3 linked regions of the Nothobranchius furzeri genome follow. The protein of the gene in region 1 binds, or shares a complex with, the protein of each later gene. Links are inferred from orthologs where the notes say so. Each region holds a gene or a part of one and is shown on either strand. Other genes may lie near its edges.

Evidence for each region. Proteins that work in one complex are often made in the same cells at the same time.
Region 2: the proteins of rab11 family-interacting protein 2 (region 1) and ras-related protein Rab-25 are in contact, whole or in part, in a crystal structure (PDB 3TSO), measured with the Homo sapiens proteins. The link is inferred for Nothobranchius furzeri from reciprocal best matches to the Homo sapiens genes RAB11FIP2 and RAB25. Residues at the interface, in NP_055719.1 of Homo sapiens: Arg475, Glu478, Ile481, Asp482, Asn483, Leu485, Val486, Met489, Pro493, Ser494, Leu496, Arg497, Val498, Pro499; in NP_065120.2 of Homo sapiens: Arg34, Ile45, Gly46, Val47, Glu48, Phe49, Ser50, Thr51, Lys62, Trp66, Arg73, Arg75, Ala76, Ile77, Ala80, Tyr81.
Region 3: the proteins of rab11 family-interacting protein 2 (region 1) and rab11a are in contact, whole or in part, in a crystal structure (PDB 2GZD), measured with the Homo sapiens proteins. The link is inferred for Nothobranchius furzeri from reciprocal best matches to the Homo sapiens genes RAB11FIP2 and RAB11A. Residues at the interface, in NP_055719.1 of Homo sapiens: Glu478, Ile481, Asp482, Asn483, Leu485, Val486, Met489, Glu490, Pro493, Ser494, Leu496, Arg497, Val498; in NP_004654.1 of Homo sapiens: Arg33, Ile44, Gly45, Val46, Glu47, Phe48, Ala49, Thr50, Lys61, Trp65, Arg72, Arg74, Ala75, Ile76, Ala79, Tyr80, Arg82.

The regions. Positions count from the first base shown.
Region 1 is NC_091752.1:6,563,732-6,567,806, forward strand, and holds the start of rab11 family-interacting protein 2, read left to right. Parts: upstream 1-1,275; 5' UTR 1,276-1,500; coding exon 1,501-1,853; intron 1,854-4,075. UniProt on the Homo sapiens protein: A Rab11 effector binding preferentially phosphatidylinositol 3,4,5-trisphosphate (PtdInsP3) and phosphatidic acid (PA) and acting in the regulation of the transport of vesicles from the endosomal recycling compartment (ERC) to the plasma membrane.
Region 2 is NC_091759.1:20,370,609-20,374,877, reverse strand, and holds the start of ras-related protein Rab-25, read left to right. Parts: upstream 1-1,469; 5' UTR 1,470-1,603; coding exon 1,604-1,640; intron 1,641-2,056; coding exon 2,057-2,252; intron 2,253-3,848; coding exon 3,849-4,042; intron 4,043-4,121; coding exon 4,122-4,202; intron 4,203-4,269. UniProt on the Homo sapiens protein: The small GTPases Rab are key regulators of intracellular membrane trafficking, from the formation of transport vesicles to their fusion with membranes.
Region 3 is NC_091749.1:66,767,987-66,772,013, forward strand, and holds the start of rab11a (ras-related protein Rab-11A), read right to left. Parts: upstream 2,801-4,027; 5' UTR 2,676-2,800; coding exon 2,636-2,675; intron 1-2,635. Other genes in the region: SH2 domain-containing protein 7, read right to left, coding at 3,958-4,027. UniProt on the Homo sapiens protein: The small GTPases Rab are key regulators of intracellular membrane trafficking, from the formation of transport vesicles to their fusion with membranes.

The sequences.
Region 1 (4,075 bases):
GTATTGACCACTATATGTTTTATCTTTGTTATTGTACAATTAATATTCTGAGACCCCAAAAATAAGTTGACATACAGACTAAACTATTTGTTTACCTATAATCTCATGCAGGATTAAAAGCCGTCAATCAAAAAAACTCCAAATGCTTCAAACTGAGACTCAGTTCTTGTGACTTCCTGTAAAAGTTCAGTAAAATCCTAAATCTGCTGTGGTGTGGGACGGATTAACATGCATTTAAGCATTTCTCAACATTGCATAATTAATAATTCAGATTTGTGTCATTTTGGTCCTAAATGTAGATTTTACCATACACACACCCCTTATATCTTAATGGGTTTGGGGAAAAGGTCTAGAAAATCTGTCAACTTTCATCTGGACACACATTGAATCAGTTTGTTTGGGACACATTTTGAGTGTTGTAGTTCATGGGGCGAGTAGGAACAGACCAACTCTCATTCAGAATAGTTCAAACTTTCCAAACGTCTTTACTGGAGACACAACGTGATGGAATCAAGGACCCTTGTAAATGCAGTCGCTCAGGAGGTAGAGCTGGTCCAGTAATCGGAAGGTCGCAGGTTCGATCTCGGCTCTGACCAGAGAAGGCTGCTGTCCAATCCTTGAGCAAGACACTTAACCCGCCTTGCCTGCTGGTGATGGTCGGAGGGACTGGTGGTACCAGTGATCAGCAGCCTCGCCTCTGTCAGTGTAGCCCAGATCAGCTGTGGCTACATCGTAGCTCATCACCAACCGCGTGTGAATGGGTAAATGACTGATTGTGTTGTAAAGCACCTTGGGGAGCTGTAAAACCCTAAGAAGGCGCTATACAAAGACAAGCCATTTACCATCTAAATGGCTTGTTCTTGATATAACGCCTTCGAGAGTTCTACAACCCCCCAAGGTGCTTTACAACACAATCAGTCATTCACACCCTGTTGGTGATGAGCTACGATGTAGCCACAGCTGATCTGGGCCACACTGACAGAGGCGAGGCTGCTGATCACTGGTACCACCGGTCCCTCCGACCACCACCAACAGGCAAGGCGGGTTATGTGTCTTGCCCTAGGACACAATGACAGACCGACAGGGCTCGAACCTGCAACCCTCGAGTTTTGGGGTGGCCCCTTGTGAACGTTCTGATGTGTCTGTTTACACCCATGTGAGTGTTGCTCAGGATTTGTTGTCAGTCCGAGCCCAGCTTCGGTTCTGACTCATGTTCTAGTTCTCAGAAATATCCTGATGCATCTCTGCTTCTTTCTCTATTTTTCACAGATGACTCAACAGTGGCTTGGACATCTGTGATTTGATAGACGATGAAGCGTGCTCTGTTTGGCAGACCTGCTTGTTACCATAGCAATGTAAACCACACCAACATGGAGAACAAACTATAGTGAATCCTAATTTTTGCTTCCTTCTTTTTTACCCATGAAACCCACTAAAATCCCCTCATCCATCACATATTAACTGGTTTTGAATGGATTTCAGCTGAAAACGGTGCTCAACATGTCACTGGGTGTTCAGTCTCAGAAATGGTTTCCTACCCATGTCCAAGCCACTGTTCTTCAAGCCACTGGTTTACAGTCCAAAGGCAAAAATGGCACCAATGACGCCTACACCATCATCCAACTGGGCAAAGAAAAGTACTCCACGTCGGTGGCGGAGAAGACGATCAACCCCGTCTGGAAAGAGGAGGCCTCGTTTGAGTTACCTGGTCTTCTTTTAGAGGGAAACCCCGAAGTCTACGAGCTCTGCCTTACAGTCATGCATCGGTCCTTAGTGGGGATGGACAAGTTCCTGGGTCAAAAGTTCATCAACCTCAATGAAATATTTGTTAATAAGGAGAGAAAGAAAACAGAGTAAGTATATTTATGCACTAAACGTGTAAATGAAAAGCCATGAATACAAGTTTATGACTCTATTGCATTAATGTACTCATTCAGATTCATTTATTTGTTCTTTATGATTGTCAAACGTGTCAAAAAGAATCACTTCCCAAGTAGGGATGGGTACCTTTGACATTTGAATCGATCCGGTACTAATTCCCGGTACCTACGAGTTGATACCGGTACTTAACGGTACCAATTTTCGATACTTTTGAGTGTTTATTATTTTAATTCTCTTTTATAATTAAATATATATTTTTCTCAATATATAACAATATTTGATAAATATGACGATAAATATCATACAAGTTTGTATTTTAACATCGTCCTTGTAGTTTTATAAGCTGATAATTAAACTGAAGCAAACATCTTTACTGTGAACTAAATTTACTGTGTATCTTCATTCCTTTTGCCGTCCTTTTTCATTTGATTTTTCCTACTGGGAAGTTAGAATTTCCGAGGAGAAAGCGAACGCACCATTAGCTGATAACAATGGTAGCAATGGAAGCTAACATATCAAGCTAACGTTATCTTTAACAGTTTATTTAGCTGCTGGAGCAGATTAAAACGATGATGCCTCAAACTTAGATCGTTGTCACTGGTTTCATCTTCACCCAATCACCCGTCGCATTTAGTAAAGTAAAGCCAAACTTTAGAGCGCGTTCATGTTCTTCTAGTCGGAAATTCGGAGTTCCGAGGAGAAAGCGAACGCACCATTAGCGAAACGGAAGCTAACAAATCAAGGTAACGTTATCTTAAACATTTTATTTACCTACCGGAGCAGATTAAGATGAGGATGTCTCACTTAGATCGTTGTCGCTGGTTTCATCATCACCCAGTTACCCATCACATTTAGTGAAGTGGACCCAAGCTTTAGCGTGCGTTCTTTCTACCATGCTGCTCTGTTTACAACGGGCTCGCAGGGACCGGCGACATAACGCTCTTGCGCATGCGCGGCTGTCTTGGCAAGTTCTCGTTGTGATGGACGGGTACCGAAACGAGGCACCGTTTGAAATGACGTGAATCGGTGTTCGGTCGGTACTATGGAATTTGGTCGGTACCTTAAAAAGTACCGAATTCGGTACTCACCCCTACTCCCAAGTATTTCTGAGATGCAATTCCCAAAAATAAGCCAGAAGTTCAAAGAAATCTGCTGTTAGATATTTACATAGTATGAAGTTTCTGCAATGCATTAAATTATCATAGGGATGGGTACCTTTGACATTTGAATCGATCTGGTACTATTTCCCGGTACCTACGAATCGATACCGGTACTTAACGGTACCAATTTTCGATACTTTTGAGTGTTTATTATTTTAATTCTCTTTTATAATTAAATATATATTTTTCTCAATATATAACAATATTTGATATATATCATGATAAATAACATACAACTGTATTTTAACATCGTCCTTGTAGTTTTATAAGCTGATAATTAAACTGAAGCAAACATCTTTACTGTGAACTAAATTTACTGTGTATCTTCATTCCTTTTGCCGTTTTGATTTCTCCTACTGGGAAGTTAGAATTTCCGAGGAGAAAGTGAACGCTCCATTAGCTGATAACAATGGTAGCTATGGAAGCTAACATATCAACCTAACGTTATCTTAAACAGTTTATTTAGCTGCTGGAGCAGATTAAAACGATGATGCCTCACACTTAAATTGTTGTCACTGGTTTCATCTTCACCCAATCACCCGTCGCATTTAGTAAAGTGAAGCCAAACTTTAGAGCGCGTTCATGTTCTTCTAGTCGGGAATTCGGAGTTCCGAGGAGAAAGCGAACGCACCATTAGCGAAACGGAAGGTAACATATCAAGCTAACATTATCTAAAACATTTTATTTACCTACCAGAGCAGATTAAGATGAGGATGTCTCACTTAGATCGTTGTCTGTCGGTGGTTTCATCATCACCCAGTTACCCATCACATTTGGTGAAGTGGACCCAAGCTTTAGCGTGCGTTCACTGACCTAAAACATGTCGTTGACTCGTTGGTTCCGCCGATAACGGCAGATTCAGACCACCAGTTGATTTGTTAAGGTGAGGGCAACTGTATAAATGACTCGGCTTGTTTTGTTCTTAAGACATAATCAAAGTGCAAACAGGAAGATGTTTAACATGAAGTAGTGATTTTCAAAATAAGTTTATGTTCTGCCATAGTTCAGATTTTTTTTCAGATCTAAGTCCCAGA
Region 2 (4,269 bases), on another chromosome or scaffold:
TTATCTATCTATATATACTTTTATTCCAAACACCTAATATATTGACGTGGGCAAAATGACATCGATAACAGACGTACATTTTGGAGTTGTTACATTTTTGGTGTACTGCCTACCTCTAGTGTCGACCTGCTTTACGGCTATACTGTGCCGATAGGCTAACGGTTAGCTTTGTCAGTAAAACTGTTGGTAAAAATCACAAGAAGAAGAAGAAGAAGAGGTTTAGTTTTTTGTCAGCATCATGGCGGAGCCTGGAAGTAAAAGGAAGAGAGTAATGTCTTTGGAGGCGAAGTGAAGAAAGTTCAGACCAGACAAAGAGCTAGAACTAGAGCTAACATCAACACGGCCTACGCTGTTTCAGTTTCTAACCCTCTAAAAAAGTAGGAAGCAAAGTTATCTGCAAAGCCAGAGCGAGCAACAGCGCCGTTGTTTATGACGACCAACCATTTGGGAGCAGAACCGGGAAAATTGTTGCTTTAAAGAAAATCTTCAGTGAACGTCTGAGTCGAGACGACTTCAGGAGACAAAACCGGATGGAAGTTTGTTTCACACGTACAGAGAGTCATGGCTGACATGTTGAATGAGATACGTTCACCCATCCGTCTCCGAACCCCTCACTCACTCACTCACTCACTCACTCACTCACTCACTCACTCACAGGGCGTCCAGCAGGGGGACAACCTGGACAGGTCTCCAGTCCATCACAGGGTCACCCACTCACACCTAGGGACACCAGTCAACGTAGGAGGAAACTCAACTGCTCAGAAATTCCACCCATGCGGGATTCGAACCAGCAACCTTACGACAATCCTGCTGCACCACCCTGCATCCTCCTCTTCATGGGCTTAATTTAAAACTCTGTAAGTGGCCCTTTATTAACGCTACCGTTACAGTTATTAAAACTTTATTAATGCTTTATAAGTAACGTTAATAAAGGGACGGTTATTGTAACGTGTCACTAAAACTCGGATGAGAAGGTGATGGGAGATCCTTCAGATTAATGCTTTTTCGTGGCTTTAATTCACCAAACGTCACCTTTAGGTGTGTAATTTGTAAATAATCGACACAAAGACATATTTTCAGGAGTTCCCTTCTTTAAAGGTTTGATTTATTGTAAACAAACTGTCAAACTATTTAAAAAGACAAATTTAATTTCTTTTAATGTTTCATTTTTTTGAAGGTAGCAGAAGAGAAAACAGTAAATTCAGTCGAACCACAAGAACAAAAAACACCAGTTTAAATCAAAACGATTCTCCACAGCCAGATTCTGAGACGAAACCGTGACCTGTTCTGTCGCTCGGATCCTCCAGCTGCTGGGTGAGGACGATTGTTAAACAAATTAGGCTGAGAGGGTGGAGTCTCTCCCTGAGAGTGGTTTAACCTGTTCCACCTGCTCACCTTCCCTCGGCCCTCCTTCGGGCGTCAGCTGATGGACAATCAGGAATCCTGCTGCGTCTTTTGTCCTCAGCAGCGACTTGAATCCAGAGTAAAAGGGAAGAGGATCCTTACTGAAGGCGGTGAGGTCGTCCTGGACTTGTTTTAATAGTCCTCCACATTTTGAAAGTGGCTCCAGGATATCCAGGGACCCATCGGCACTGACTGCAGCATGGGGTCGGATGAGTCGTACAACTTTGTCTTTAAAGGTGAGTCACGTTCACTTCAGCTGTGATTGTTTAAGCTAGAGCTCGAGTTTGTTTCTTCCTGATCTCTTGAGGTGCAGCTAGTTGCTCTAATTTCTAAGAAAGAGCCCGAGCAGGGCAATAAGGAAGTGACTACTTCCTGTCTCTTTGGTTGTATTGCTTTCTGACCTTTGACCTGTCACGGGAGCACAAGTCCTTACTTTTCCTGCTTAATTAAAGCTGTAAAATTTAGTGTTTGATGTCTCAAACCTGCAGTGATTCTTCATTTCTCTCATTTCCAAAGTTGAGTCAGCCTCTGTGTCTGCCATGTTGGTGTGATGTCATAGGATGTGCGTTTAGTGTGGCAGAAATATCTGATTCATCAGTTTGTCCCAGAAAACGAGTTCACTCACGATCTGGTCTGGTCTGCTTCTCTCTAGTGGTTCTGATCGGGGAGTCGGGCGTAGGGAAGAGCAACCTTCTGTCCCGCTTCACCAAGAATGATTTCACCCACGATAGCCGCACCACCATCGGCGTGGAGTTCAGCACCCGTACCGTTCAGCTAGACCAGTTCACCATCAAGGCCCAGATCTGGGACACAGCTGGGCTGGAGCGCTATAGGGCCATCACCTCAGCGTGGGCACACACTCATACATACACTTGTATTTATATACTTGTGTGGACCAGTCATTGAATTCCATTTATTTTAGTGACTCCACTCTACTTAACCCTAACCTCAACTAAAAGTTAATACACACCACGCCTCCAGAACCAAGTATTAGGGTGTTTTCCTCATTGGTTCCAAACATTTTCACACGTTACAGGTTAAAAGTCTAAATTAGTTCTCACAATGCATTGAAGACATTCTTCTGTCAGGTGAAAGGCTTTGACCTTTTGACTAGCATACCGCACAAAAAAAAAGCTCATTCAGAAATGTATGAGCCCTGGAGGTAACAGGAAAAAAATGTTTTTGGGTCCTCATTTGGTTTTAGCTTTGTTTGAGAGATCCCGACTTTGTTAGTGAGATCTCGGCTTTGTTTTGCGAGATCCCAGCTTTGTTTAGTGAGATCCCGACTTTGTTTGTGAGATCCCATTTGTTTTGCTGAGATCCCGACTTTGCTAGTGAGATCCCAACTTTGTTAGCAAGATCCCGACTTTGTTAGCAAGATCCCAAATTTGTTAGCGAGATCCCGACTTTGTTTAGTGAGATCCCAACTTTGTTTTGTGAGATCCCAACTTTGTTTAGCGAGATCCCGACTTTGTTTTGCTGAGATCCCGACTTTGTTTTGCTGAGATCTCGACTTTGTTTTGCTGAGATCCCGACTTTGTTTTGCTGAGATCCCGACTTTGCTAGCGAGATCCCGACTTTGTTAGCGAGATCCCGACTTTGTTAGTGAGATCCCGACTTTGTTAGCGAGATCCCGACTTTGTTTTGCTGAGATCCCGACTTTGTTTTGTGAGATCCCGACTTTGTTTTGTGAGTTACCAACTTTGTTTTGCTGAGATCCCGACTTTGCTAGCGAGATCCCGACTTTGTTTAGCGAGATCCAGATTTTGTTTAGCGAGATCCCGACTTTGTTTAGCGAGATCCAGATTTTGTTTAGCGAGATCCCAACTTTGTTTAGTGAGATCCCGACTTTGTTTAGCGAGATCCCGGCTTTGTTTAGTGAGATCCCGACTTTGTTAGTGAGATCCCGACTTTGTTTAGTGAGATCCCGACTTTGTTTAGCAAGATCCCGACTTTGTTTAGCAAGATCCCGACTTTGTTTAGTGAGATCCCAAGATCATTAACAAAGGAAGTGTGTGTGTGTGCGTGTGTGTGTGTGTGTGTGTGTGTGTCACAATATCTGTGATCACTTCTGTTGATCTGAGAGAAGCAGAACTTCTTAAGAGAAAATTGAAGATAATCTTGAGATCTCACAAAAAAATTTTTTTCTTCTTCTCTAACTTCCCCAGGGCTCAGTACTTAGTAATAAAATTATTTTTATAATTATTAATTAACCCATGTTGTCCATATTGAATTAAAAAAAGTTGTTATTTTATTGTATTGTATTGTTTTTATTAGAGGCATCTAAAACAGCGTAACGAATTACACAAGTTACCTTATTTATTGTTCTCAGGTATACACATGGGGCGTTCCTGCCCTTTCACAGCGACCATGTAAGGATTGATTGTTCCTCTCAGTAGAAGATCCAACCCATGATTGTGTCATCTCTCACCTGGTGTGTTCAGGTATTACAGAGGAGCGGTTGGTGCGCTGCTGGTCTATGACATCAGCAAGCACCTGACCTATGAAAGCGTTGAGCGATGGCTGAAGGAGCTGTACGACCACGCAGACCCTCACATCGTGGTGATGCTGGTGGGAAATAAGGTGGACCTGGAGAGCCTCAGGACTGTTCCCACAGAGGAGGCCAAAGACTTTGCAGGTTCATCAACTGTTGTTCAACCATTAGATCATTTTTAAATATCAGCGGTAATTAATTCTCAAACTCTTCCTCGATTCAGACAAGAAAGGGCTCATGTTCATGGAGACTTCCGCGTTGAACGCCACCAACGTCGAGGCAGCTTTCAATGATGTTCTGAAAGGTAAGAGACTTTTGCTTTGGTGCACGCTCACTGAAGGCGTGAGACAGAGTCGTGAAACGTTTGTTTT
Region 3 (4,027 bases), on another chromosome or scaffold:
TGGTATTGTTTCATGAGTATTCATGTTGGTTTTCACAATAAAAGGAAATTGAAACATTGACATAATCTGCTTTTAGTTGAGACAAAAATCAGTATCAGCAAGTCTGTTTTTATTTTTTTCAAGATTGGTGAACAGTGATCAGCCAAAAACTGCAATTGGTGCACCCGTAATTTATTTATATTTTTTTATTTGTCTCTGGGCGTTTTTTACTCAATATTTTTTAAAGAGACAATTTGAAGTTTTTACCATAAATTTCAGGAAATATCCATCAAAATGTTGTTGAAAATGAATGAAATAATTCCCAGTTGTTGCTTTGTAACATATAACCATAAAAATCTGGTCTAAAATACATAGGAGCGGGATCGTTTTATCAGGATGTTAGGAGTCCCACCCCCTTGGCCCCGTCCACTGACAGGTGCCATGTTAAAGAGCAAGTCACCCCTACCAGAGTCTCACTCCACTCCCATTTCCTGTTTAAAAAATGCTGCTGCCTGGCAGACCGAAAGGGCAGAGCCGCTAACACACACACACACAGGCTCACATTGGCCGTGTTCAAGATGATCCAGTTCTGCGCAGATTCGATCACCGGTGATCGGCGCGCAGTGCATGCTGGTTAGATTTGTGTCTGACTTGACGCCGACTTGCTCTGATGTCATGCCTACGTAGGCAACGATAACCTCGTGAGATCAAGGCGGCCGCAGATTTTGGAGCAAGGCGCTGCAGTTGCTCTCCGCCGGTTGCAAAACCTAGGGCGTGACAGGAAACGCCTCGCTCTCACCTGATCTAAGATGACAACTATATAGGCCATAAAGAGAAATGTGATTTGTGTTTTTATTGTCACATTTCCTATGAGCACACTAAAACTCTACAGCTGCTAACCTTTACTTATTATTACTTCATATGCACATGTCAACATTACATGATATTGTCAGGATGTGTTTCAGTTGCTAACAAGCACCAGAACTTTAATTACAAATTAAACAAGTATGAATGAATGTGATATCTTTATCCATCATCACCTGCGAGCTACATGTAGGGAAATTTGATCATCTTAAGCCTGGTTCATGCTTCTCCGTCAGCTCCGCAAAGGACAGACACGCACGGATTGACGGAAGCGTTTTGCTCTCATACTTCTCCGTCTCCTGGAGAGTGTTGCAAAGCAATTCCCCAGCAGGACAACAGAGGACGTAGGCTGTTCTGTGGTATCCTGTCATGCATCCGGTCCAAGATGGTGTGTTTATATTATGTTTTTTTGTATATAAGAGACTTTTTAACAGACAAATTTGTCTCTCATTCTCCTCCACCTCTTCATGCGCTCGCCACCTCTAAACCCACGTTTCCTGTCATTTCCATCCACTAATAAAACGCTTGCTGCGCATCTTTTCACTCCTCCTGTCACTGGGGAATTAAACATTCATATTTTAGAGTTTTTTCGCGAGGTATTCTTCAAGCTGCTCCGTGTCTGCCACTAGTTATCCTCGGCTCTCTTTATGTTTTTGAGGGCGCAATGGCGGCGCTGTAGACAACAGCGGCGTCCTGACCAATCACAAGCTTGCGTTCTCCGTCTCGACTGACGGATGTTTAGAAAAGAGAGCTCGACTCCGTCCGTCCTCGCGGAGCTCTCTGACGTTGCGTGTCTCAGCACTGACGCAGATGGAGGAGCATGAATCAGGCATTAAACGCCGGCTTTCAGCCACTCCCCCTGCTGCATCCGTCTGCTTTCATCTGTTTTCCAAGCGAGGCGCTGCTCAACTCGAACAAGGCCAACAACATTGTGATCTCATAATGTACCAGCTGACATCATAGTGTACTTCTCAGCCAATAGCGATGGCAGATTTAAATTTGAATGCAGTGCAGAGTTTTTACCTGACAACATTGACAGTTTTAAGCAGAATATTTCAATTTTAACTAAGATGCACTAAAATAAATCGCTTGGGGGGGGGGTTGAAAAAGACAAATACAACCGTTTTACTTCTTATTCAGGAGTTATTTTAATGATACTTGATTATTTTATGTTCTCTTTGGTGATTCTGCTCCTTTCAGGATTTGGTGTTTTTATAAACTGATAAATGAAGTTAAAACTCTCGGGAAAACAGGAGGTTAGTGGAAGAAATGTGAGAATACGAAACCGGAAGCTCACGTGAGAGTGGAATATAAATAACCCACAGATGAACAACCTGATCAATAATCTGATATTAATAACCTGATCAATAAAGCAGTTAAGAGTTTTTCGTCCAGTTTCACCTCAGCTGGACCAGCCCGGTTCTGCCTCGGGCTCTGAATTTGCTGTTAAACGTCGTCTCGGGCCCGTTAACGGTGCTGCTGGCAGATCGGTCCGGATCGCATCAGGAGGATCTGATCATGTTAGGTCTAGGTGTGTCCCGCTGGCTGTCGGCAGGCTAACCCGAGCTAACCGCTATCCCGAACCAAGATGCGCTTTAGCACGAACAACAAGCACCGGATGAACAATTTCCTACCCGAACGAGTCAGACATGGTTCGTCGGGAGTTCGGAAAACCGATTCAACGCGCTGACTCACGTCAGAGAAGTTTGTTGAGACCCGAACACAAAAGGCTGACGGCGGTTCCGTTAGCTCCACCGCCTAGCCTGCCAAATAACAACAAACACCGCTTTACCTTTGAATAAATAGTCGTATTCATCATCTCTGGTGCCCATCGTCCCAACACTGGAGAGCGGGTCCAAAAATGATTTTGTTAAAACAGAAAAGACGAGATTTTACTGTCCGACGGGAATTAGATGGGAGATAGTTTCTTCTTCGCTGGAATCCTGACAGCGGAATGCAGCGGATACTCTGCCCCCCAGCGGCCACAGGACGGAGCGCAACCTGGAGGTGTGTGTACCGAAAATGCCAGCCGAGACATTTGCATGCATTGTTACGGGAACGCGCATATTGAGGAAGACATTAATTTGGAGGCCTTAAAACTCATAAATACATTATTTTTTCATTAAATGTAGAATACTGTATGCTCACCAAGTGTCAAATAAATAAAGTGATTTCAAACTTAAAAGTTATTTATTTTTAGGCATCAATACATTCATTAATAACAGTATAATTAGGCTATGAATAAAGTATAAAAATGATGCTAACCTGAGTGTTTATCTCTTCAGTTAGTTAAAGTGACCTGCACATCTCGCTGTAGCAGGGCAGCTGTGGCTACATTGTAGCTCACCATCACCAGCATGTGAATGTGTGTGTGCATGGGTGAATGGCTGGTTCGTTGTAAAGTGCCTTGGGGGGTTTTAGAATCCTAGAAGGCGCCACAGGCCATTTACCATTTTGCATAACTAAATCTCAACACTTCTAGGATGGAGGGGTTGAAGGGCTTCTGGGGCTAGTGTCCCATGTCCTTCAGTCCCAAAATAAACAATACAGATATTAAGCTCACTATAGTAGCCCAGCATAGCCTATACATGTGAACATGTAGGATAATGTCATTTGATCCACAAGAGTTTAATCTTCTAAGACATTGGTTCTCAATCCTGGTCTCCAAAGGGCGGTATCCATGTTTTCGTTGTTCCTCTATACTCTACATAATTCAGTGGTTGAATCACCTGTTCAGAAGCTCCTCAGGCTCCGTAAAAGCCTGTTAATCACCTGCTGATTACAACCAGGTGTGTTGAAGCAGGGAAACAACTAAATCATGCTGGCTATCGGGACCACCCCTGCTATAAGATAACAGGGAGGATTTTCTGGGCCTGCTGTAATTTGTGGTGGTCAGTATCCCCCTCTTTTCACCCCATAATTGATCATGCAGGTATGAATCTCACTCCAGGAGGCCTGTTTTTATTTTCATCTCTTAGAGATTCTGAATGAAGTCTCCTGACGTCAGGAGGAAGCCCCGAACTTGAGAAACTCCACAAGATATATTTATTTCTTTAAGAAGTTCCTCCATTTTATGTTCTGTAGAGACAAAATTATTTAAAAAAAAACGTCAGATTATTTATTTACTCTCTGTAATAAAAACCAGCACATGACGTTGCATCTTACATTTTTGCCCCAGGTGCTT